7 linked regions of the Macaca fascicularis genome follow. The protein of the gene in region 5 interacts with the protein of the main gene of each other region in a pairwise test. Links are inferred from orthologs where the notes say so. Each region holds a gene or a part of one and is shown on either strand. Other genes may lie near its edges. The genes, in order: FGR, PRKCZ, CBR1, MGARP, EGFR, HSP90AB1 and DNAJC4.

What was found.
Region 1: the proteins of EGFR (region 5) and FGR interact in binary tests that used the Homo sapiens proteins (3 or more experiments, as listed by UniProt). The link is inferred for Macaca fascicularis from reciprocal best matches to the Homo sapiens genes EGFR and FGR.
Region 2: the proteins of EGFR (region 5) and PRKCZ interact in a protein complementation assay, tested with the Homo sapiens proteins (3 studies listed by BioGRID and IntAct, with this or other methods). The link is inferred for Macaca fascicularis from reciprocal best matches to the Homo sapiens genes EGFR and PRKCZ.
Region 3: the proteins of EGFR (region 5) and CBR1 interact in a protein complementation assay, tested with the Homo sapiens proteins (2 studies listed by BioGRID and IntAct). The link is inferred for Macaca fascicularis from reciprocal best matches to the Homo sapiens genes EGFR and CBR1.
Region 4: the proteins of EGFR (region 5) and MGARP interact in a protein complementation assay, tested with the Homo sapiens proteins (2 studies listed by BioGRID and IntAct). The link is inferred for Macaca fascicularis from reciprocal best matches to the Homo sapiens genes EGFR and MGARP.
Region 6: the proteins of EGFR (region 5) and HSP90AB1 interact in binary tests that used the Homo sapiens proteins (3 or more experiments, as listed by UniProt). The link is inferred for Macaca fascicularis from reciprocal best matches to the Homo sapiens genes EGFR and HSP90AB1.
Region 7: the proteins of EGFR (region 5) and DNAJC4 interact in a protein complementation assay, tested with the Homo sapiens proteins (2 studies listed by BioGRID and IntAct). The link is inferred for Macaca fascicularis from reciprocal best matches to the Homo sapiens genes EGFR and DNAJC4.

The regions. Positions count from the first base shown.
Region 1 is NC_088375.1:207,442,968-207,446,467, forward strand, and holds part of FGR (tyrosine-protein kinase Fgr), read left to right. Parts: intron 1-465; 5' UTR 466-605; intron 606-1,088; 5' UTR 1,089-1,151; intron 1,152-2,321; 5' UTR 2,322-2,334; coding exon 2,335-2,560; intron 2,561-3,107; coding exon 3,108-3,210; intron 3,211-3,500. UniProt on the Homo sapiens protein: Non-receptor tyrosine-protein kinase that transmits signals from cell surface receptors devoid of kinase activity and contributes to the regulation of immune responses, including neutrophil, monocyte, macrophage and mast cell functions, cytoskeleton remodeling in response to extracellular stimuli, phagocytosis, cell adhesion and migration.
Region 2 is NC_088375.1:232,605,381-232,608,880, forward strand, and holds part of PRKCZ (protein kinase C zeta type), read right to left. Parts: intron 2,174-3,500; coding exon 2,038-2,173; intron 1,928-2,037; coding exon 1,840-1,927; intron 1-1,839. UniProt on the Homo sapiens protein: Calcium- and diacylglycerol-independent serine/threonine-protein kinase that functions in phosphatidylinositol 3-kinase (PI3K) pathway and mitogen-activated protein (MAP) kinase cascade, and is involved in NF-kappa-B activation, mitogenic signaling, cell proliferation, cell polarity, inflammatory response and maintenance of long-term potentiation (LTP).
Region 3 is NC_088377.1:10,882,558-10,886,515, reverse strand, and holds the start of CBR1 (carbonyl reductase [NADPH] 1), read left to right. Parts: upstream 1-1,158; 5' UTR 1,159-1,251; coding exon 1,252-1,540; intron 1,541-2,073; coding exon 2,074-2,181; intron 2,182-3,291; coding exon of another isoform or gene 3,292-3,563; coding exon 3,564-3,958. UniProt on the Homo sapiens protein: NADPH-dependent reductase with broad substrate specificity. Catalyzes the reduction of a wide variety of carbonyl compounds including quinones, prostaglandins, menadione, plus various xenobiotics.
Region 4 is NC_088379.1:144,415,373-144,418,431, reverse strand, and holds the end of MGARP (protein MGARP), read left to right. Parts: intron 1-1,679; coding exon 1,680-2,122; 3' UTR 2,123-2,559; downstream 2,560-3,059. UniProt on the Homo sapiens protein: Plays a role in the trafficking of mitochondria along microtubules. Regulates the kinesin-mediated axonal transport of mitochondria to nerve terminals along microtubules during hypoxia.
Region 5 is NC_088377.1:75,246,011-75,249,510, reverse strand, and holds part of EGFR (epidermal growth factor receptor), read left to right. Parts: intron 1-192; coding exon 193-309; intron 310-891; coding exon 892-1,018; intron 1,019-1,116; coding exon 1,117-1,190; intron 1,191-2,017; coding exon 2,018-2,108; intron 2,109-3,500. UniProt on the Homo sapiens protein: Receptor tyrosine kinase binding ligands of the EGF family and activating several signaling cascades to convert extracellular cues into appropriate cellular responses.
Region 6 is NC_088378.1:127,264,848-127,267,314, reverse strand, and holds the end of HSP90AB1 (heat shock protein HSP 90-beta), read left to right. Parts: intron 1-109; coding exon 110-257; intron 258-372; coding exon 373-641; intron 642-1,130; coding exon 1,131-1,464; intron 1,465-1,574; coding exon 1,575-1,684; 3' UTR 1,685-1,967; downstream 1,968-2,467. UniProt on the Homo sapiens protein: Molecular chaperone that promotes the maturation, structural maintenance and proper regulation of specific target proteins involved for instance in cell cycle control and signal transduction. Undergoes a functional cycle linked to its ATPase activity.
Region 7 is NC_088388.1:10,164,321-10,168,415, reverse strand, and holds the start of DNAJC4 (dnaJ homolog subfamily C member 4), read left to right. Parts: upstream 1-1,295; 5' UTR 1,296-1,609; coding exon 1,610-1,695; intron 1,696-2,962; coding exon 2,963-3,056; intron 3,057-3,524; coding exon 3,525-3,709; intron 3,710-3,795; coding exon 3,796-3,960; intron 3,961-4,095. Other genes in the region: uridine diphosphate glucose pyrophosphatase NUDT22, read left to right, coding at 15-112, 245-338, 612-752.

The sequences.
Region 1 (3,500 bases), on a different chromosome or scaffold from region 5:
TCTGAGTGTTGCAATGGCAGAGTTTCTGGCAGGGTGTGGGGGACCCTTGCTCAATGACCTCCTGCCCTGTTGCTCAGAGGATACAGCTGCCAGAAAAGAGTTGGCTCATTGTGGGCCTTCCCAAGGGACTCTGGTGGCCCCAACTTCTGACGTGGTCCTTTCCCTGCTATGGGGATAGGGGCAGAGCTCCGGAGGCAGGTATCCACTGTCACTCAGCCACCACATGGAACCCTAGGGTGGCTGGGAGCACAGCAGGGTTCAGAAGAAGGACTGTTTTTTGTTTGTTTGTTTGTTGTTTTTTGAGATAGAGTCTTGCTCTGTCACCCAGGCTGGAGTGCAGTGGTGCGATCTCGGCTCACTGCAACCTCTGCCTCCCGGGTTCAAGTGATTCTGCTGCCTCAGCCTCCCGAGTACCTGGGACTACAGGCGCCCACCATCACGTCTGGCTAATTTTTGCATTTTTAGTAGAGATGGGGTTTCACCATATTGACCAGGCTGGTTTCGAACTCCTGACCTTGTGATCCACCCACCTCGGTCTCCCAAAGTGCTGGGATTACTGGCATGAACCACCGCGCCCGGCCAGAAGAACTGGTTTTTAGGAGAAGGTGACTGGGGACTATGAGGGAGCTGAGCATGGCTTGATAGAAATCCTGTTAGAGAGATGATTATAATGTACAAAATCATGCGTGTCTGAGTGTGTGTGTCTGTTAACCTGGCAGGCACCACATGTATATGTGCATGTGTCTGTGTGTGTGTTATTGTGAGCTTGGGCTTGTTAGAGCCTCTGTTGGCGTGTGACGGTGTTGGCATGCACACTCATGCAAATGCATGCTGTGAGTGTTGTTGCGAGACTGTGCTGGTGTGTCCCGTGAGTATGAGTGTGAAAGAGAGCTGGTGTGGGTGGTGTGCCCTGTGTGACAGTGGTTGTGTAAGTGTGCCAGGGGTGATAGGAAGGAAACTGAAGGCAGAAGTCATGCTGGGGCAGAGCCCAGGCCTTCTGGCTTCCTGAAGAGGGCAGGAGCTGGGCAGCTGCTGACAGAAACATTGGCAGAGCCTTCATCTTCCTTGTCCTTCTGTCTCACCCTCAGGTCTCTGACCCCTCCCAAGGATCATGCCGCAGCCCCACTGACCCAGGAGTAGGGGCCTAAGGGGTGAGTGGGGTGGACTGAGGGCTTTCAGGGTCACGAAACAGGGTGGGGGTGGCCTTCCTGAACCCCACAACTCCTCACAGCCCCTTCCTCCTATAAGGACCCTGTTGCTAGGTAACAGATGGGGGAGCCAGAATGAGGCAGCTTGAGAGGCTGGAGACTGGACCCATGACAGGAAATGGCCTTGATCCCCCTCTGCAGTGACTCTCCAGGTGCAGACACACAGCCTCACACACACTCACACATAAACATGCGCAGATATATAGACATACACGCAGAGATACATCCAGAGACAGGCACACTGCTCCCACACAGAGCTACGTGCACATTCCTAGACACACAGACACAGAGACACCCACTCACACAGACAGGCACACATAGACTCACACAGAAGCACATACACACAAACACGGTCTTACAGACATACACACATGCAGCCAAACACATACATAGAGACTTTTACACACTGTCACATACACACAAACCTGCACACACAGACACACAGACATCCATAAAGAGCTGCACACACACGCATACCCACACAGGCAAACTCACCCATACTTAGAGACACACAAAGACACACATGTACAAGCACACTGAAAGAGTCACAGAAACACAACATATCAAAGCATTAGGACCCAACCTGAGCAATATAGCAAGACTTTGTCTCTACTAAAAATCGAACAAATTAGCCAGGGGTGGTGGCACGCACCTGGAGTCCCAGTTCTTGGGAGGCTGAGACCAGAGGATCACTTGAGCCCAGGAGATCAAGGCTGCCGCAAGCTGTGATTGTGCCACTGCACTCCAGCCTGGGCAATAGAGTGAGAGCTTGTCTCAAAACAAAACAAAACAAAACAAAACAAAAAACAAAGCAATAGGAGGCAAAAATATACAAATAAGCATAGCAATATCCCAATGTAGAAAGCCAGCCCCGGAGACATAGACACGAGCCAATGGAAAGAGAAGCACTGAGCGGGGACATACTGTGAGGCAGACTGAACGGTACAGTAGGTGGCCCGGCTCCGTTTTTTTCCCTTAGAGGGAGGACCCCAATCTAGGCCCAAGAGAGAAAGCCATGTGCCTGTATGAGCGTATGAGCATGTGCGTACACGTGTGTGCACAGAGTGATGCACCTGGCAGGGGCCCTTGAGTGAGGCATGCCCCATTCTGTAGCAGGGAACCTGGAATGGGCTGTGTGTACTGCAAGAAATTGGAGCCGGCGGCCACGGCCAAAGAGGATGCCGGCCTGGAAGGGGACTTCAGGAGCTACGGGGCAGCAGACCACTATGGGCCTGACCCCACTAAGGCCCAGCCTGCATCATCATTTGTCCACATCCCCAACTACAGCAACTTCTCCTCTCAGGCCATCAACCCTGGCTTCCTTGATGGTGGCACCATCAGGGGTGTGTCAGGTGAGTCCAGGGGGCTGGAGTCAGGTGCTGCCTGGATCCTGGGAGAAACTGAGGGAAGAAGAGGAGATGCGGACTCGCCCTTAGGAGCCTCCAGTAGGATGTGGCAGACACAACCCCGCTTTCAAGATCACACAGGCTGAGGGAGTCTGTACAGCCCTACCGTCAGAAACCACAGTCTGCAGGGGAGGGTCAGGAAGCTCTACTCCCAGGCTGAGAGGGGCATGACCCTGTGACAGATGCAAGTGACAAAGAGAAACGTCTTGCCCTTTTAGGAGCCACTTCCCAGATGGGAAGTCTTCTTGGTGGGGAAGAGGAGGAGTGGGCAACAAGGGGATCCTCCGTGGTGGGAGGAATGGGCTTGAAGTTGTGTGTCCTAAGCTGTGGAGACCAAATCTGAAATTCCTTAGACTCCAAAGGCCTTTGGGAGCCGGGGCACTAGAGGAGTGGGGAGGTGCAGCGCCTGGCTGGGGAACAGGAATTTGGGGGTGCAGCCCCCTTGGTGCTTCTGCCCCATGCCCTACCCTGCTGAGTAGCCCTGACTCTGCAGGGATTGGAGTGACCCTGTTCATCGCCCTGTATGACTATGAGGCTCGAACTGAGGATGACCTCACCTTCACCAAGGGCGAGAAGTTCCACATCCTGAACAATACGTAAGTGACCAGGCCACCTAGTCAGAACATTGTCTGGGCTGGAAGCAGGACCCAGACAGGAATCCCGCCTGGTCCCTAGCCTCAGAATGCTCCAGCCTAGTTGCGAACACATATACATAAAAATAAAAACCCTGGATGATTGCAACTGTGTGCTGGGGTGGGGTGGGGGGTGGGGTGGGGGGTGGGTGGGCAGGTGTTGGGCCACTGCAACCGGCCTGGAGAAGGTGATTTTTTAAGCTGAGGCTATAAAAATGAGATAGACGGCCAGGTGCGGTGGCTCACGCCTGTAA
Region 2 (3,500 bases), on a different chromosome or scaffold from region 5:
ACCAGCAGCTCCGCCTGGCAGCTCGGCCTCCCTGCCACCGTCCCTGACGCTATGGAGGTCTCCAGGCTGTCTCTGGGCTGTCAGTCCTGCCAGGGCACCTGTGACCACAGAGGCACGAGGCACTGGTGGATCCTGTGGATGACCCTCCTCTCTCGTTTCTGCGTTCACAGATCTAAGCTTGAAGAAGCCCTTTTGCTGCAATAACGGAAAGACTCTCCCGGGTTTTCTTCCACAGTCATTTTGTTTTATTTTTTGTTTTTGAGACGGAGTCTCGCTATGTCGCCCAGGCTGGAGTGCAGTGGCCGGATCTCAGCTCACTGCAAGCTCTGTCTCCCGGGTTTATGCCATTCTCCTGCCTCAGCCTCCCGAGTAGCTGGGACTACAGGTGCCCGCCACCTCGCCCGGCTAGTTTTTTTTGGTATTTTTTTAGTAGAGACGGGGTTTCACTGTGTTAGCCAGGATGGTCTCGATCTCCTGACCTCGTGATCCGCCCGTCTCGGCCTCCCAAAGTGCTGGAATTACAGGCTTGAGCCACCGTGCCCGGCTATTTTGTTTTTTAAAAATGTTCAAGTAGCCAACCTGATGGGAACGTGTTCCAGCGAATGGGGGTGGGAGGCCCTGAGCAGTTTTGCCCAAGGACGGCAGCTGCCCCTGGGTCCCCAGAAGTCCCCCTGCTCCCTGCTGAGGTGAGACGCTGCCGCTGTCCCCCCCAGAATCCCCATCCCGAGCTGGGTTCTAGAATGGATTCCAGTCCTCCAATCTGCTATCTGTCCTTCTCTGGCCACGGAGACTTCCATCGCGGCAGCTGGGGAGCCCAGTTATCCCAGGGGTGAGTGACCTGCCCACCCTTCCTGCCCCACCCCCATTCTGATGGCAAAAAAATGTGTAAAAACATCTGAAGGCACACTCGTGTATGCCTCACTGAAAACACCAGCATGAGGCCGGGCGCGGTGGCTCACGCCTGTAATCCCAGCACTTTGGGAGGCTGAGACGGGTGGATCATGAGGTCAGGAGATCGAGACCATCCTGGTTAACACAGTGAAACCCCGTCTCTACTAAAAATACAAAAAATTAACCAGGGGTGGTGGCGGGCGCCTGTAGTCCCAGCTACTCGGGAGGCTAAGGCAGGAGAATGGCGTGAACACCAGGAGGCGGAGCTTGCAGTGAGCCGAGACCGAACCACTGCACTCCAGCCTGGGCGACTGAGCGAGACTCTGTCTCAAAAAAAAAGCAAACAAAACACCAGGATGCAAAAGTGGATGGGGTGTGTACAAACACAGTATGCGTGTGCACACAATATACACGGATGCCCAAAACATAAAGACTCAGCACAACACACCAGCACACACGCACACAGGGCTGCACACGCATGCCCACCATGTCCATGTTTCACTCCCAGAGACGGGAGAGGAGCAGAAACACTCCGGTGTGTGTGGCACCCTCAGCCGCAGGGGCGGTGGGGTCCTCTCCACACGCTCCTGCACCTCCTGGTGCTCCCAGACACCTGCTTCTCCCCAGCCACGTGGGCAGCACGGGGACTCAGGTGCCGCACCCTGTCCCACCCCCGCTTTCTGTGCCTTTCCCCTCCCTGTGCCCCTGGGGCTCCTTGGCAGGAGGAATCCTGTGCGGTGCCCTTCCCCAAGGGGCTGCTCAAGTGGACACGGGAGGTTTTCAAGAATTCAAAGAAGGGGCTGAGACCAGATGATGACATCCGGCTGCGAAAGAGTGTGTGGCTTTTGGGTGGAAGATGGTCAGCGAAACCTCTCCCCCGCCGCTGGGCGAGGCGCGAGGCTGTTTCTGGCCCCGTGTGCTCCGAGAGGGGACGGCCGCGGCACTCACCGTACTCTTCTCCCCGCAGGATTTCGGGGGCGATGTAGTTCGGGGTTCCGCAGAAAGTGCTTGTTGTGTCGCCAGGGCCCAGGCCTTCCTGTGGGGGCAGAGTTATCACAAGAGGGTTCTTGTAGACACCACCCCGCAGGACAGGCGCCCTGAGAAGCACACGCGGGATGGTCGGGGGAGGCGGCCCGAGGCACGCACCTTGCACATGCCGTAGTCTGTGAGCTTGATGTGCCCGTCCGCGTCCAGGAGGACGTTGTCCAGCTTCAGGTCCCGGTAGATGATCCCCCTCTCGTGTAGGAAGTTGAGGGCGATGCAGATCTCGGCCGCGTAGAACCTGGGGGCGGGATGCTGTCATGGGGACAGGGCCTGTGCCGGAGGCTGCACCAACAGCTCCAGCCTGGGGGCCGCACGCTCCCGTTTGCCCTACCACGGGCCAGGCGTCCTCTCAACAACCAGGCCCAGGATTTGAAAGTTCAGTGCACAGGGCCAGGGAGGGAAATGCAATGAAAGCTCCAGAAAACCGCCCCATGCGCCTTAGGATGGCTTGCTGTCAAAGACACAGAGAACGACGTGGCAGCCTCCACACGGGGAGGAGCAGGCAAATAACACGACGGCTTCCACGCGGGAAAGACTGGAGCCCTGGCACGTTGCGGTAGGAGTGCAGAACAGCGCCGCTGCTGCGCAAGACAGTCCGGCAGGTCCTCGAAAATTAAACACAGCGCCAGGCTGGGCAGCTCACGCCTGTAATCCCAGCAGTTTGGGAGGCCAAGGCGGGCGAATCACCTCCTGAGGTCAGGAATTCAAGACCAGCCTGGACAATATGGTGAAACTCCGTCTCTACTAAATATACAAAAAAAATTAGCTGGGTGTGGTGGCATACACCTGTAGTCCCAGCTACTCAGGAGGCTGAGGCAGGAGAATCACTTGAACCTGGGAGGCAGAGGTTGCAGTGAGCTGAGATCGCACCCCTGCACTCCAGCCTGGGTGACAGAGCGAGACTCCATCAAAAAAAAAAAAAGAAAAGAAATACGGAATTCCTTTGTGGTTAGCAATTCAGTTTCTGGGCCTATACCCCAAAGAACCGCAAGCAGGGTGTTCAAGAGATTACTTTACACCCATGTTCACCACGGCCAACATGCGGATGCTACCCAAGTGCCCCCCAAGGGATGGACGGAGAAGCAAAGTGTGGCCCTTCCATCCGATGGGCATTATCCAGCCTGAAAAAGGAAGGCAATCCTGAGACAGGCCACAGCACTGATGAACCCTGAGGACTCCAGGACACCAAAGGACCCACACTGTGATTCCACTGCGAAGAGGTCCCTAGAGTCCTCGAATCAGAGGTACAGAAAGTGGGACATGCCCATCTGGGGCGAGGACGTGGGGCTGGGGCGGGGGACAGGAAGGGAGTGTCCGACAGACTGAGCTTCAGCAGGGAAGAGCGGCGTGCTTTGGGAACGGGGGCCGGCGGTGGCTGCGTGGCACGGGGGGCCTTCAGTGCCACTGAACTCCATGCCCCAAAACGCTACCTTGTGTGTGTGTGTATCTTGCCACGGTTTTTAACAAGAGCGTGTGGGAACTGAGTGCACTGTTCTAGATTTATTGCCTACTGTCCTATTGCCAGAAAGAATCTAAGGTGACTCACAAAATTGCATGGAACCTTC
Region 3 (3,958 bases), about 64 Mb from region 5:
ATAAACTCTCAGGATAGATCTCTGTTTCTTCATTTTAAGATGGGGATTAAAAGGTACATCCTGGAGTGTTATTTTCAGTGTAAAATATGGCTGTGAAACCTCCTACACCTATGCACAGGTAAACTGATGGCCCTGCAAATGCCCAGAGAAGTCACCTTGTAAAGATTTAATGAATGTTTCCCACCATTATTGGAAAATCTGGCTAAGTCAGTAGCTTTGTTTTCATATACTTAGAGAGGAAATCAACAAAAACTTGATACCCTGTCATTTCCTTCCAGTTTCTTCTGCAACTCTAGCTCCAAAGACTGCAGTTCCTGCAGTATATATATATATATATATATATATATATATATATATATATATATATAAATATATATATATATATATATTTTTTTTTTTTTTTTTTTTTTGAGACGGAGTCTCGCTGTGTCTCCCAGGCTGGAGTGCAGTGGCGCGATCTCGGCTCACTGCAAGCTCCGCCTCCCGGGTTCACGCCATTCTCCCGCCTCAGCCTCCCAAGTAGCTGAGACTACAGGCGCCCGCCACCACGCCCGGCTAGTTTTTTGTATTTTTAGTAGAGACGGGGTTTCACCATGTTAGCCAGGATAGTCTCGATCTCCTGACCTCGTGATCCACCCGCCTCGGCCTCCCAAAGTGCTGGGATTACAGGCTTGAGCCACCGCGCCCGGCCTTTTTTTTTTTTTTTTTAACAGGAAAAAAAAACATGCAAATGTACTATTTCTTCAAACACAACTAGGAATGATTGAACAGCTGGGGGAATAGGAAGAAAACCCCTCAGAGAACCAAGGACAAGCAGTGGCACATGGCCACTACGAATGGTTCTTCACTGTTATGTGGGCAGCCGGCAGCCAGCAGCTAGAGTCCGTCCTCGCTCTTCAGCCAGCAGTTCTGCAAAGTCAGGCCAGCTGGCTCTCCGCCCGCGGGCTCGCTCTTCAGCCAGCAGGTTCTGCAAAGTCAGGCCAGCTGGCTCTCCGCCCGCTCTGCACCCAGGCGAAGTTCGGGTGGGGAGGGGTAGGGGTGGTTCCGCTCCGCCCCGCCCCGCGCCCGCCCCTCCCCGCTAGGGGCGGGGCCTGGGCCTGCGCCTGCGCGCTCAGCGGCCGGGCGTGTAACCTACGGGTGGGCGCCCCACGCCCGCCAGATTCGCGCAGTCTCTGGGATACACGCCGCGCATCTCCAGGGCCTGAGCCAGGTCTGTTCTTCACGCAGGTGTCCCGCGCGTCCCATTCAGCCATGAAGTCCGGCATCCGTGTAGCGCTGGTGACTGGAGGCAACAAGGGCATCGGCTTGGCCATCGTGCGCGACTTGTGCCGGCTGTTCTCGGGGGAAGTGGTGCTCACGGCGCGGGACGTAGCGCGGGGCCAGGCAGCCGTGCAGCAGCTGCAGGCGGAGGGTCTGAGCCCACGTTTCCACCAGCTGGACATCGACGACCTGCAGAGCATCCGCACCCTGCGCGACTTCCTGCTCAAGGAGTACGGGGGCCTGGACGTGCTGGTCAACAACGCGGGCATCGCCTTCAAGGGTACGGGGAGGGGACGTGGCCTCCCCGACGTGGGCTGCTCCTGTCGAAGAAGCGCTGCACTGGGGCTCCTACCGGCTGCGGGGTCCAGAAGGACTCCCTAGGGAGGAGAGGGAGGAGCTGGGAGATGTAGGGAGTGCAGAAACCTTAGAGAAAGGGAGTTTTCCAGCCAAAGGGAACTTTGTGTTTCCCTGGCTCGGACTTTTGGGGATCTCTTTCAGATTTTCTGCAGTTTTTCTGAATTGAGCTTTAAGGCCATTGAATGAATTTTGAACTGATTTTAAAATAAACGATAAATTGCAAAAAGAAAAAATGGTTATGCCAAGATCCAGTGTGTGCGCCCTTCATCCTCTTTCCCCCAATGGTACCATCTTACAAAAACACTAGAACGTTATCAAACCAATAGATTGGCACAATACTGTAACCAGACACAGACTTTAGACAGAAGGCACTAATTTTTTATTTTTAGTATCATTCTATAGAATTTTACCTTGTGGGTACAATGTGTTAACTATGTTCTCTTTTTCTCCTAAAAGTTGCTGATCCCACACCCTTTCATATTCAAGCGGAAGTGACGATGAAAACAAACTTCTTTGGTACCCGAGATGTGTGCACAGAATTACTCCCTCTAATAAAACCCCAAGGTGAGTCTGATGGGAAACAGCGCACCTTCTCTTTGGGGCTTGACTCTGGCCCCTGCTTGTCTGGGATTTCTCCTACAGGCTCCTGCTTCCTCTCCATGCTGCATGTGCACTGACCTCTGTGCTTTGTCTCCTGCCAGCTGATAGGTGCCATTCTGCCTCAGGACTTTGTCCTCACTTCTCCCACTCCCATGGCCATTCGTCCTCCCCATCCCACTGGTCTTTGCACACCTGGCTAACTCTCTTAGCCTTCAGGTCTTAGCTCAAACGTCTCCTGAGAGATGCTCTTTCTTTGCTCCATGCCTCTCCGCGTGGGAGTCCATCCTGTACCCTTTCTCTGCTCTTTCAGAGAGATGTTATTCAGGCTGGTGGAACCTTTACTACCACCAGTTCATTAGGCCCTTCTAATACCTGTCACCTGTCTGGAACACTCCTTAAGCTCCCGACCACATAGTTGTCTTGCTGCCTTTCCGTCTCTTTCTGATGCCTTTCCCCACAATCTAGGATGTTTCCAGAGGATCCCTGTCCTTTTCCCTAAGTTATCTGGGACACAGACCCCACCACCTACCCACCAGGATCGTGCAGGTCACCATGCCCCACCCCTCATAATCACTTACTAGGTCCTAGGAGTTGTGCCCACTGAGTTCCTCCTGAATCCATCTCTCCGGCTTTACAGCAGGCCCTCACCTGTCCCTCTGGACAACTGCAAACCCTCACAGGGCACCTCTGGTCTTGAGTCTTTTCCTTTCCCAGCATCCTGCATGCTGTCTGCATGGTCATGCCGCTCCCAAAAATCCTTCAGGAGGAAAGTCCAAGCCCTTAGCATGGCACACAGAGATGTCCATAATCTGCCGCTGCTTAACTCCGGGCCCATTTTAACTCCCCTTCAACGTGCTCAAGGTGCTGGATACGACTATCACATTTCTTTGGTTGTAAACTGCTGTAATCGTTACCCTAAGTAATGGGACAGGAGATGAACCCACCCATTAAATAAAGCAGCAATTAAGCAGCTACTTTTAGAAAAATTTAAATGTGTGGCTTCGAGTTGGGTACTTTCATGTACGGCTTACTCTCAGCTTTTATCCTGTTTCCCTGTCCTGTCATCCTATTAAGTTGTGCTACTTCTAAGGCTCTGGTTCACCAGGACCTCAAAGGGCAGCTCTTCCAGATCTCACCTGACTCTACTCAGCCAAAATTTGAAGGCAGGAATGAAGTTCTTTATGCAACTACCACCACACTTGCTATGCGCATTCCTCTTAGAACTCATACCAGCAACTGTCTCTCATATGAAAATTTTCTGCTTCAAAATCCCTGCAAATTTGGCATTCACCTTTCTACAGGATTGTTGCACACCTTTCTACATAATGCTTTGTGGTGTATCTTAGGGAGAGTGGTGAACATATCTAGCATGATGAGTCTCAGAGCCCTTAAAAGCTGCAGCCCAGAGCTGCAGCAGAAGTTCCGCAGTGAGACCATCACCGAGGAGGAGCTGGTGGGGCTCATGAACAAGTTTGTGGAGGACACCAAGAAGGGAGTGCACCAGAAGGAGGGCTGGCCCAGCAGCGCATACGGAGTGACGAAGATTGGCGTCACCGTTCTCTCCAGGATCCACGCCAGGAAACTGAGTGAGCAGAGGAAAGGGGACAAGATCCTCCTGAATGCCTGCTGCCCAGGGTGGGTGAGAACCGACATGGCGGGACCCAGTGCCACCAAGAGCCCAGAAGAAGGAGCAGAGACCCCTGTGTACTTGGCCCTTTTGCCCCTGGATGCTGAGGGTCCC
Region 4 (3,059 bases), on a different chromosome or scaffold from region 5:
TTGAGGCACTAATTTCCATCCGTTTAGTCTAGCAATGAACACTATTTGCTTTTGGCTTCTTTCCTAGCTTAATCCAGAATGACTCTGGGTATAAGTTCATTTAGAAAGAAAAAGCTCAACTGAAACCTGAAGAACACTGTTACACCTTTTGGATGCATGCATTTGACAAATGAACGTTTTACAGTTATATTGCTGACCAGTGACTTTTGACTTCTTGTGATAATATTACTTTCCGCTGCTCAGGCATCCACCCATGCAGGCATGAGCTTTCATTTTCCTCATTATTTAAAATAATAATATAACTAATTATCTTTCAGTTTGGGCTAAGATCACCTGTGTGCCTTTGTGCAAACAAGGTCCATTTGACACAACAGGATCAGTCGTGTATATTGAGTCCTTCATTTGATAAAATGGTGACCATGGGAACAGAAACTTTATATTTTCACTCTTTCGTTCCTTGCTTCCTACACTTCTTTCTCCCTCCCTCCCTCCCTGCCTTCCTTCCCTCCTTCCCTCCCTCCTTTCCTTCCTTTCCTCCCTCCCTCCCTCCTTTCCTTCCTTTCCTGCCTTCCCTTCCCCCTTCCCTTCCCACTTCCCTCCATGGGTTCTCCCTCTGTCAACCAGGCTAGAGTGCAGTGGTGCAATCATAGCCTACTGCAGCCTTGAACTCCTGAGCTCCAGCAATCCTCCTATCACAGCCTCTCAAGCAACTAGAACTACAAGCATGCACCGCTATGCCCAGCAAGTTTATTTTTTATGTTTTGCAGAGACAGGGTGTCACTATGTTGCCCAGGCTGGTCGTCTTGATCTCCTGGACTCCTATGATCCCCTCCTGCCTCAGCCTCCCAAAGTGCTGGGATTACAGGCATGAGCCACTATGCCTAGCACCTTCTTGCTTTAAACCATACTTTTTTGCAAGCTATTATTATCAATTACTATGATCACTATTTAGGGATAGAGATATTAGAGGCTTATGAACCAGTTTTCACCTGTCATGACAATAAGAAGAAACAGAATATCATCAATACATATTATTGAATATAATCACGTGGTTATTTATAATACTAATAAAATAAGCATTTTCATAGAACTTTTTATTTTAATCCCCTTTTCATATACAGTATTGTAATTAATCTTTACAATAGCCCTGTGCAGTAGATATTATGAATACCCTATTTTACAGATGACAAAAATGAGGTTGAGAGAGGATTAGTGATTTCTGAGTCACCAGCTAGGAACTTGGCTACTCTTCCATGCTATCTCATATGAAAGGTGAATAGGGTAGCTGCTTATTTTTGTATTCTTCATCTTTGCCTAAGTAACATATTCAAGTGTATTTTTTTAAGTTCAAAGAGTTTACAGAAAAGCAGAACCCCCATTTTCCCTCCAAGAGGCAACCAATAAAACCAGTTTATTTGAATCCTCCTGGAGAGTTTTTGCAAATACAATTACGTAGGCATACAACTTACCCGCCTCCTGCTCCCCTCCCATTTTGCCCTAACAATACTAGCAGACTGTATACGTTGTTCTTTTTTTGCTGTTTCACTTGAGAGTCTACCTTGAAGACGGTTACACATCGGTGCATGTAGCTCTGTCTTACGTGTTTAAATGACCACAGTGTTTCATTGCCTTCCCGCGATCTTTAAATTAATACCTTGCTTAATGACTCATTCTTAAAGGTGAAAAGGAGAATGTTGCGGAAACTGAGAAAGCAAGTTCAGAAGCCCCAGAAGTACTTGCAGTGGAAGCCGAGGTGGTAGATGCTGAAGAAAGTCCCGGTGCTACAGTTGTGGTCATAAAAGAGGCATCTGCCTGTCCAGGTCACGTGGAGGCTGCTCCGGAGACCACAGCAGTCAGTGCTGAAACTGGGCCAGAGGTGACAGATGCAGCAGCAAGGGAAACCGCAGAAGTAAACCCTGAAACAACCCCAGAGGTTACAAATGCTGCCCTGGATGAAGCTGTCACCATCGATAATGATAAAGATACAACAGAGAACGAAAGCTCTGATGAATATGCTGAACTAGAAGAAGAAAATTCTCCAGCTGAGTCAGAGTCCTCTGCTGGAGATGATTTACAGGAGGAAGCCAGTGTTGGCTCTGAGGCTGCTTCCGCTCAAGGCTAATCTCCAGCTGGTAGACATTTCAGCAACAAATGCCATAGAGTGTCTGATAAGTGCTTTTGTGTTTTTAGTACACTTAGTTTACAAAAAAAAAAAAAGACATTTTCTAGAAAATGTTAATGTGTCTTGAAGATTTTTGGCATCCACTGATAGATTTTAGGACTGAGAGACTTGAGATTGTACATTTCTTATTACTATTCTACTGTCTGAGATCAGAATATGACATTGCAGTAAAGAGCTTAAATAGTTTCATCTTTGGCTTTTTTTTTCCTAGACATTTTTCTTTTATCACTCTATCTCTGAATTGACATTTTATATGAGAGAAATTGAGCTATCCATACAACCTGTATTTACTTTAATTTTGCTATGCTTTTAGCTTACTTTATTGTATGGTATGTAGGTCTAAAATATAGTTTGAGTCAAATAAAATTAGAAAAGCTTTGGTGCTTCTACTTTTTTCACTAATATTTGCATGTACAAATAATACATATTAACATACACATACATAACATCACATGAGAAATGCAAGCTTTCGTAATATTATTGAAGAAACAGCATATAGTCTATGGAGAACCCTGCATATAACAATATGTATGCCCTCTCCCATCTATAGTACTTACAAAGGGGACTATGTAGATATTTTCTGTTTCAGTTCAGTTCAAACAATATTTATTGAGGATTAACACTTTGTGCCAGGAATCATTCATTCATTCACGTGATCAACAAATATTAGCTGAGCACTTACAACATAATAGGCATTGTTTTAAGTGTTCCCAGTTTATATTCTAGAGTGGAACCAGGTAACAAGACAAATGAGAAAATTATATAGTATATTAGATACTGATAAGTGCTAAGGATAAAAGTAATGAAAATAAAAGGATTGTGTTAGTTCGAGGTGGAAGTTGTAATTTTAGGTAGGATGGCTAAAAGAGGCCTTACT
Region 5 (3,500 bases):
AGAATTTATTAAACTATTGAACGGAATTCCTTTTCTATTTGCAACCTTTCATTCTTTGTCCTTAAAGTAAATAAAGCCAAAGGAGGATGGAGCCTTTCCATCAGCACTCGAGAGGAGGACCTGGACTGTCTGTGTGAGGCCCGAGCACCTGGCGCCACCGTCGTCACCTTCCTTTCATGCTCTCTTCCCCAGGTAATTATGTGGTGACAGATCACGGCTCGTGCGTCCGAGCCTGCGGGGCCGACAGCTATGAGATGGAGGAAGACGGCGTCCGCAAGTGTAAGAAGTGCGAAGGGCCTTGCCGCAAAGGTAGGAAGCCCGCTGGTGTGCGGATGAGGCTTGTTCTCAGCTGCTGAGGCTGGGCTTTCATGCCACCTCCAAATGAACACTACTTCTTCTTCTCATTAAAAAACAACTATAAATATCATTTCTTTAAAATAGAAGATAAAGCTGCAAAGCCAGGTTAGGCAATGGGAAGGCACTGAAGGTTGTGATAGGGTGGGGGGCTCCGACGAGAACAGTGCACAGAGCCAGCCCCTCAGCAGCTGCCAGATGCCCAGCCCTGGGGAGAATCCAGGGAAGGCAGAGCTGGAAGCAGTCCAGCTCCATGCGGCCCAGGGGAAATAATGAGGAGAATGCAAGGTCGGTGTGCAGTGACAGGGATGGCATCTCCTATACCGCCGTAGCCCCAAAGTGTGCTATAGGTCCTCGTGTCCCCCTGCCCCCCGCACCCTCCCCAGCCCCGTCAGTGTTTGTTGAGTGAATGAAGGCTGATATGGCAGTGGCAGTTCCCGCGACTGGAATTCCTTCCTGCTTCCCTCTGCCTGTGGATCCCTAGCTATTCTTAATCCACCAATGTGAACGGAATACACGTCTCTCTTATCTCTGCAGTGTGTAATGGAATAGGTATTGGTGAATTTAAAGACACACTCTCCATAAATGCTACAAATATTAAACACTTCAAAAACTGCACCTCCATCAGTGGCGATCTCCACATCCTGCCGGTGGCATTTAGGGGGTGAGTCACAGGTTCAGTTACTTGTATAGAGAAAAACAAAGTCTGCCTTTTTAACTGGTAGAGACAGGAGATCAATAATCACCTGTTGTTTGTTTCAGTGACTCCTTCACACACACTCCGCCTCTGGATCCACAGGAACTGGATATTCTGAAAACCGTAAAGGAAATCACAGGTTTGAGCTGAATGATCGCATGAATATAAATGGGAAATCAGTGTTTTAGAGCGAGAACTTTTCGACATATTTCCTTCTCCCTTGGAATAAAAACATTTCTTCTGAAATTTTACCATTAATGGCTGATGTTTTGATACTTTTCAAAAGTACAGTTTCCCTGCAGGCAAAAGGGGACACGTTAAGCCCAGGCTTAGGTCATTCACTGCGCATGTGAACACGCTTTCTCCCTCCTACCCGGCCCCAGCCAGCTGCCTTGGTGGCCCATAACCCCTGCGGGTAGAGGGAGAGGACAGGGGTAGGCGAGGGGCAGCCTGGGCCTCAGGCTTTTGAAACTGGATGCCAGAGCCCTGTGGGGCCACGGGCAAGCCTCGGGTCCATGACTGCCACCTGAGCTCCGCTTCCTTCCTCTCTAAAATGGGAAAATTAGACTTATATAACACAACTGTTTTAGGGTTGGAATCAAATAAGGAAAATCTGTAAAGCTCCTTGTATGTGATACCAGATCCATAATTGGCAGATAATCGCAGCAGGAGCCTCTTGGGGGTAATCAGATACCCTGCGCAGCAGGGGTCCCAGGGCCACAGCCAGAGGGGCGGCGGGAGACATGGGGAATCGCTGGGGGAGGCGGGAGGCAGCCGTGAACTCTGGCTGGCCTGCATCCGCCCATTCGCATGTACACTCAGAGAAGATGATAACGAAAAAGAAAGCAAATCCAATTTTCCCACTCACTGTTCCTATAATACAAAGTCCCTGAGAGTCTAGAGTAATGTCTCATACAAAAAAGAAACTCCTGTGTGGTGTGTGTCTGAGTCTCCTCTGCCTTACAGGGTTTTTGCTGATTCAGGCTTGGCCTGAAAACAGGACGGACCTCCATGCTTTTGAGAACCTAGAAATCATACGTGGCAGGACCAAGCAACAGTAAGTTGACCACAGCCAAAGAGCCTGGTAGATTACATTTTGCCTTTTTAGTTGGAAATTAGGCTTAACAGGAGAGTTGCTAAGATAGGGCACAGAGCTCCTGTATCTCTCGCCGGCATTCCCGAATGCTATCTCACATGAGCAGGCACAAGGATCAAGACTGAACGACCACTGGCACAGGCTGTCTGCTAAACCACAGACTTCTCAGCATTCGCCAGTGCTTATGCTTCTGTGTCCACTCCAGATCCCACATTGCACTTAGTTGTCAGATCTTTTCAGTCCATTCTAACCTGTAATAGCTCCTATGTCTTTCCTTGTCTTTCATGGCCTTGACTCTTATAAAACGTGTTGTTCAGGTACTTTGCAGACTGTCTAACCATTTCAGTTCGGCTGGTGTTTTCTCAGGATGCAGTTGAGGTTATGCACATCTTATCACGGGGACCAGATAGACTTTTTAGCACCACTCTTTAAGAATTTCCACATTTTCAGCTTTGACAGTGGAATAGACTTGCAGGTGCTCACACACAAGCATCTTTAATATGGTAATGGTAATCATCAGTTTAGTGGTATGGAGGAGGAGATGGGAATCTCTTAGTAAAACCAGCCTTGGAAGCAGCCCCCTTATGAGAACTGCTGCCCCTACTTGACTCCTAAAGCACTAGATAATACTGTGCAACATTAAAGAGAGTAAGAGTGCATGAAATATGCATTGCCTCCCATAAACTCCCTTGGCTCTGAATCTCTGATACTAAATATGTGGCTACCATTGCTTCCCAGAAAAGCCTTTTTGCTCTGAATTCTCTGGAATACCTTCTTTGCCTGAGATTCTTATAAAAACAAGAGATTTAGAGCAAGTTTCTTGGATGGCTGGTATGAGCCAGTTGGCTTAGTTGTAGGGATTTAAACAAGATAAGGGTTACTTACTTTTCACATTTAATGAGAAGTCTGGTGATTCCAGCTCCTACTGAGGCAGGGTGGCCACAGGTTCCAGGTCATGACTCACTGAAGCTCCAGGCCTGCCCTGCAAGGACCATCTGGCTCTTCCCTGGTGTCTGGCCTCCCTGGGCATATGTGGGGGAGAATTCCTAATGGTATTGGTTACAGGCTCCTATGCAAGACCACTCATCAGTGTAGGAGAAAGGAAAAAGATGGGGGAAAGAAGAGCAGCAGGGAGAGGAGAAGCCTCTGGATGATACTCTAACCCCCTGCCATCCAACATCTGAACATCAGTCTTTTCATCCAGTGCTCTCAGCTGGCCCAGTCCCCAGCCTGGGGTCAGATGAGAGCTTCCTGCAAATGCAGATCTCTTTCCTGTGGCTCCTTCTCAATTACAGACAGCTCCTCCACAGGGTGCACTCTGGCCTTTTACTCCCTCCCCAAACCAGCCCAGCC
Region 6 (2,467 bases), on a different chromosome or scaffold from region 5:
TGCTTATTCCCTTTACCACTTTCTTAGTAATTACTAACAAATTTTTCCATTCACATAGAAAGTGAATTGTAGTTAAGTTGGATTGTTTTTTCTCTTCCCACCCTTCAAGCTTGGAATCCACGAGGACTCCACTAACCGCCGCCGCCTGTCTGAGCTGCTGCGCTATCACACCTCCCAGTCTGGAGATGAGATGACATCTCTGTCAGAGTATGTTTCTCGCATGAAGGAGACACAGAAGTCCATCTATTACATCACTGGTGCGTTGGTTCTGATGGAAGCCTTTTTGGAGGAGTGGGGAGCACATTTCAGGGCTACCTAGGAACTGGCAGTATGAGGCATTTTAGTCACTGAGTCCATTTAATTACCCTACAGGTGAGAGCAAAGAGCAGGTGGCCAACTCAGCTTTTGTGGAGCGAGTGCGGAAACGGGGCTTCGAGGTGGTATATATGACCGAGCCCATTGACGAGTACTGTGTGCAGCAGCTCAAGGAGTTTGATGGGAAGAGCCTGGTCTCAGTTACCAAGGAGGGTCTGGAGCTGCCTGAGGATGAGGAGGAGAAGAAGAAGATGGAAGAGAGCAAGGCAAAGTTTGAGAACCTTTGCAAGCTCATGAAAGAAATCTTAGATAAGAAGGTTGAGAAGGTAAGCCATTCTGGAGCTAGGATATATTTTGTAACATACCTTTGAGGTGGGCTCCCTCACAATCATGTTTTTACACAATTAGTGGCTTGAGGCACCCTATTTACTGTTTGGAGCCTTCTTGCCTCTTGTTCTCTTCCCTAGCCAGGTTTAAGGCTATTTTAATAAAATTTGGCACAGATTAGGCATTGCTTCAGTTAACTTGTGAGAGTAGATAAAATATTATTTTCTTCTTTTTTTGACTGGATCTCAGCTCACTGCAAATTCAAGTCTCCTGAGTGGCTGGGATTACAGACATGTGCCACCACACCCGGTTAATTTTTTGTATATTTTGTAGAGAGAGGGTTTTGCCAGGTTGGTCTCAAACTCAAGTGATCGGCCCCACCTCCTCCTCCTCCCCCTGCTGGAATTACAGGCTTGACAGTGTCCGTTTTCTCTTTCAAAGTGGTCACTGATCTAATGCAAATCTAAGGCTTTTGTGATTGTCCACAGGTGACAATCTCCAATAGGCTTGTGTCTTCACCCTGCTGCATTGTGACCAGCACCTATGGCTGGACAGCCAATATGGAGCGGATCATGAAAGCCCAGGCACTTCGGGACAACTCCACCATGGGCTATATGATGGCCAAAAAGCACCTGGAGATCAACCCTGACCACCCCATTGTGGAGACTCTGCGGCAGAAGGCTGAGGCCGACAAGAATGATAAGGCAGTTAAGGACCTGGTGGTGCTGCTGTTTGAAACCGCCCTGCTCTCTTCAGGCTTTTCCCTTGAGGATCCCCAGACCCACTCCAACCGCATCTACCGCATGATCAAGCTAGGTCTAGGTAAGCAGCTTTGGTACTTGATGTGGCAAGGAGTTTGTGCAACTAGGCTCCTGTCTGGATTTGACTTAATGCTATTTAATCAAGTCTTACATGGCTTAATTTTACTTTAGGTATTGATGAAGATGAAGTGGCAGCAGAAGAACCCAGTGCTGCAGTTCCTGATGAGATTCCCCCTCTTGAGGGCGATGAGGATGCGTCTCGCATGGAAGAAGTCGATTAGGTTAGAAGTTCATAGTTGGAAAACTTGTGCCCTTGTATAGTGTCCCCGTGGCTCCCACTGCAGCCTCAAGTGCCCCTGTCCCACCTGGCTCCCCCTGCTGATGTCTAGTGTTGTTTTTCCTCTCCTGTCCTTGTGTTGAAGGCAGGAAACCAAGGGTGTCAAGCCCCATTCCCTCTCTACTCTGACAGCAGGATTGGATGTTGTGTGTTGTGGTTTATTTTATTTTCTTCATTTTGTTCTGAAATTAAAGTATGCAAAATAAAGAATATGCCGTTTTTATACACTTTTGCTCTCCCTTGTGAAGTGGATGTTTATTCTTCCCTAGCTTCTCTATCCCCCCCAGCTCTTGCTGTTTTCATGAGCACAGCAAGTTAAGCTGGTTTTGTAGCTAAGATACAGAATACCAGTGAGTCTTAAGAGTGCACACACTGAAGCTAAAGGCAGTTTTTCTGAAAAACTACCATATAATAATGCCTTTTCAGTCAAAACACAGGACCAAGTCCATTACTGTAATTTAATTTAATAAAATAAAATTATAAGAGCAAAAAGTTACATTTCTAAAGTACCAAAACCTACAACAGGCTCATGGAGTAGAGCCTAGGGATCCAGGAGCATAGGAGGTGGTGGTGCTGGGCAGGGATCTGCATCCCCTTTCCACAACACAGCACCATCTTCACTTCACCCTCCTGGGAAAGCAGCATTGGAGCCTACACCGCTTGTGCTTTTCTCACCAGGGTAAGAAATGCAGGTATTTGCAGAGGGGAGTCTGGAAGGCAGCAGAGC
Region 7 (4,095 bases), on a different chromosome or scaffold from region 5:
ACCCTCCACCACAGGTGAACCTGCCGCTACTCACCCTGAGCCAGCCCCTGCTGTTGGGCATCGCCCGAAACGAGACCAGTGCTGGCCGAGCCAGTGCCGAGTTCTATGTCCAGTGAGTGGGCTCGGGTACATGATCCTGGGTCTTGGGGAGGTGGGTGGTGAGGAGTGGGCTGAGGCAGCTGTGGCTCCACAGGGACCCCGCAGGGGCTGGTCACCCACTAAGCCACCCTGTGTTCTTGTCCAGGTGCAGCCTGACTTCTGAGCAGGTGAGAAAGCACTACCTGAGTGGGGGACCCGAGGCCCACGAGTCTACAGGCATCATCTTTGTGGAGACACAGGTGCAGAGTGACAAACCATCTTGCTTGGAGGCCAGGGCTGGGGCCTGCAGAGGCCTGGCAATGCATTATCCCCAGGTGTTGGCTGGGTCACAATTCCCTCCAGAGGCACAAGATTTGCCCTTAGTACAAGGGAAAGGTCCAGGGACCTGTTCAGCCCCTTAACATGCCTCCCTAAGGACAGCGCAGAGGTCTCTGAGGCTCAGGAATTCTGGGCACAGCCCTGGCAGGAGATGTGGCAAGCTTGAATGCCTGGGTCTTGTTGTCTCCCCACAGAACGTGCGGAGATTGCAGGAGACGGAGATGTGGGCTGAACTCTGCCCCTCGGCCAAAGGCGCCATCATCCTCTACAACCAGGTTCAGGGAAGTCCCACCGGAGCAGCCCTAGGGTCCCCAGCCCTACTCCCACCGCTCTGAAGATAATAAAGGACTTTATTCTTGGATTCTGTTGGCATCTGCTATTTCTGTGACAGAGAGGAACAGTGGGCCCTGAGTGCGTAAGGCAGGACAAGTGACCTGAGGAAAAAAAAAACCCGCCCAGCCTCAGTGTCCTTCTCTACAAGCAGAGGATAAAGAGCTATGGCTCCCTTGGCTGCCTCCTGAGAGGCTCCGGGGCCGAAGCAGCTCTGTAAGATATGCCTCGCTGCAGAGGGGAGCAACAGAGGAACGGAGAGACGGTGGCCGGGCCGAAAGCGTCACAAAGCCTCAGAGAGCGGGCTCTGTCCCGCCCGGTCCCCGGGTGGGCGCCCGCGCCTGTCCGGAGAGTCCACAGGCTGGGGGACCGGAGGCACCAAAGGCCAATAGACATGTAGGGGCGGGGGCTCCACCGATTTTTTTTTTTCCCGCCTGGTGGACGTGGTCTTGGCATCCACGCCAATGAGAGTGCGAGGGCGGGGCCTGAGTAGACGCAGGAAATGGCGACGGCCGCGGGTCATTGAGCAGCGGGGGCGGGGCCTGGTTGTGGCCCCTCCTTCGCCCGTCCACAAGCTCCCTGGGTGGGAACGGGGTCTCGGAGTACCTGGCTGGTTGGCCAGACCCCGAAGCCAGCGCTGGGAAGGGCTGCGGATGCCCGGGTGAAAGAAAGGGGCAGGTCCAAGAATACGCAGGTCTGGTCCTGGGCAAGAACCGCCCCCTCCCGGGGCCTGCTTCAGTCTTCCTTCGCAGAACACCGGGCCGGGCCCCTTCTCTCTGCCCCCGGGTGCTTGAAGTGTAGCCCCCATCCTGGTACCAGTGCGCTCTTGGTAGCCTCCTTTCCCAGCTGTCCGCCCGCCGCCATGCCGCCCTTACTACCCCTGCGCCTGTGCCGGCTGTGGCCCCGCAGCCCTCCCTCCCGGCTCCTCGGAGCGGCCGCCGGGCAGCGGTGAGTTGGGCGCGGGGGGCCGGCCCGGTTGTTCAATGGGTTTCTGTTTGCCCTATGTGCTGAGATAGTTGTGGTCTCTACTCCGTGTCAGGAGGCTCCCAGGTTTGTCTCAGGTAACCCTCGCCTTCCCTGCTGAGGATCAGAGATAGAGAAGACCCCCAAGGTCATACACCGATTTAAGCAGCAGAGGAGGAGTTTGAGTCCAGGTTAAACCCAACGCTCTTACCACAGCTCTAGTGGTTTCCAGGCATCACTGTGCATAACCCTCTGTGGGAGGTGGGAGATGGGGAGGTGTTGGGTACAAAAATCCAGATTCCTCGGCTCTGCTCTAGAGATTCTGAACTGGAGGAATCAATTAGGTGGGGCTCAGGAATCAGTTTTTTCTTTTTTTTTTTTTTTTTTTTTTTTTTGAGACGGAGTCTCGCTCTGTCGCCGGGGCTGGAGCACAGTGGCCGGATCTCAGCTCACTGCAAGCTCCGCCTCCCGGGTTCACGCCATTCTCCGGCCTCAGCCTCCCGAGTAGCTGGGACTACAGGCGCCCGCCACCTCGCCCGGCTAGTTTTTTGTATTTTTTTTTTAGTAGAGACGGGGTTTCACCGTGTTCGCCAGGATGGTCTCGATCTCCTGACCTCGTGATCCGCCCGTCTCGGCCTCCCAAAGTGCTGGGATTACAGGCTTGAGCCACCGCACCCGGCCAGGAATCAGTTTTTTCTTTCTTTTTCTTTTATCTTTTTTTTGGAGACGAAGTTTCGCTCTTGTTGCCCAGGCTGGAGTGCAAATGGCACAATCTCTGCTGGGCACAACCTCGGCTCACTGCAACCTCTGCCTCCCGGGTTCAAGCGATTCTTCTGCCTCAGCCTCCCCAGTAGCTGGGATTACGGGCATGCGCCACCACAGCCAGCTAATTTTGTATTTTTAGGAGAGACAGGGTTTCTCCATGTTAGTCAGGCTGGTCTTGAACTCCTGACCTCAGGTGATCCGCCCTCCTCGGCCTCCCAAAGTGCTGGAATTACAGGCGTGAGCCACCGCACCTGGCCAGGAATCAGTATTTTCTAACAAGTCTTTGGACTCCACTTTGAGAAATCCTGACCTGCACTATGCCTGAAACACTCCAAAGGGAGACAGATTTGTCCTGGGACCTGTTTCAGCCCTCTCAGCTCCTGGTAGCTGAGTTGAAGGGTGTAGCCCAGGGAGGGGCTGGGAAGGGCAGGGCAGAGCTAGCTTCTGGGTTCCCTCAGCCCCTGCAGGTTTTCGACTCTGTCCACAGGTCCAGCCCCAGTAATTATTATGAACTGTTGGGGGTGCATCCTGGTGCCAGCACTGAGGAAGTTAAACGAGCTTTCTTCTCCAAGTCCAAAGAGGTACCGGTACCCCTAAGGTGGGGAGGGGGAGCAGGAACTCTGAGCCAGTGGGGGTGTGCTTCAAATTCCCAGGAGTAGACCTGCATCTCTGGCTGGTGCCACATTTTTTTCAGCCCTCACAGTGAGTGGCGGGTGCTCAAGGGTGGGGGGAAGGCTGTGGGCAGGAGCCAGGGGTCCTGTCTGATGGGCTGGGCTTCGTTTTCTTGACCTGCCTGCCTGCTCTTAAGAAACCTGGACCGGGGCATATGGTGAATGCAGGGGGCTGGCAGGTGGGGAGGGCTTGAACGCAGGAGGAGGCAGGAGTCCATGCTCTCTGGCCTTCTGAGGAGTGGGCAGGCCTGAGTGAGGGTCACTGACCAGGCAGGGCTCCTGGGTATGACTAGAGCCCTGGTGTGGGTGGATGTCATCAGCATGGGTCCTGGGGAGGGACAGGCAAAGGGAGATAAGGGGAGTCCTGCCCCACCCCAGCTGCACCCGGACCGGGACCCTGGGAACCCAAGCCTGCACAGCCGCTTTGTGGAGCTGAGTGAGGCATACCGTGTGCTCAGCCGTGAGCAGAGCCGCCGAAGGTATGATGCTCAGCTCCGCTCAGGTGGTCCCCCAAAGTCTCCACAAACCACAGCCCATGACAAGTCTGCCGGCCAAACACACAGGTACAGTAATCCCGCCCTCAACTTGCCCCACCCCCAGGTCTCTTGGGGAGGCTCATTTCCACAATGTCCCTTCCTCTGCCTCCCAGCAGCTCCTGGGCACACCCCAACGCACAGTACTGGTCCCAGTTTCATAGCGTGAGGCCACAGGGGCCCCAGTCGAGGCAGCAGCAACACAAACAAAACAAGCAAGTGCTGAGGTACTGCCTCCTCCTCATGCTGGCGGGCATGGGCCTGCACTACATTGCCTTCAGGTGATGCCTGTTCTCCCTGGGGTGATGGGCAGAGGGCAGGAGGGTGGGCGAATTCCAGTGTGGTCAGCCAGTCCTCCACAGCACCTCGTGTCCCGTACTATTGTGTCTCTCAAGCTAAGAGTTGCTTGAAATCGG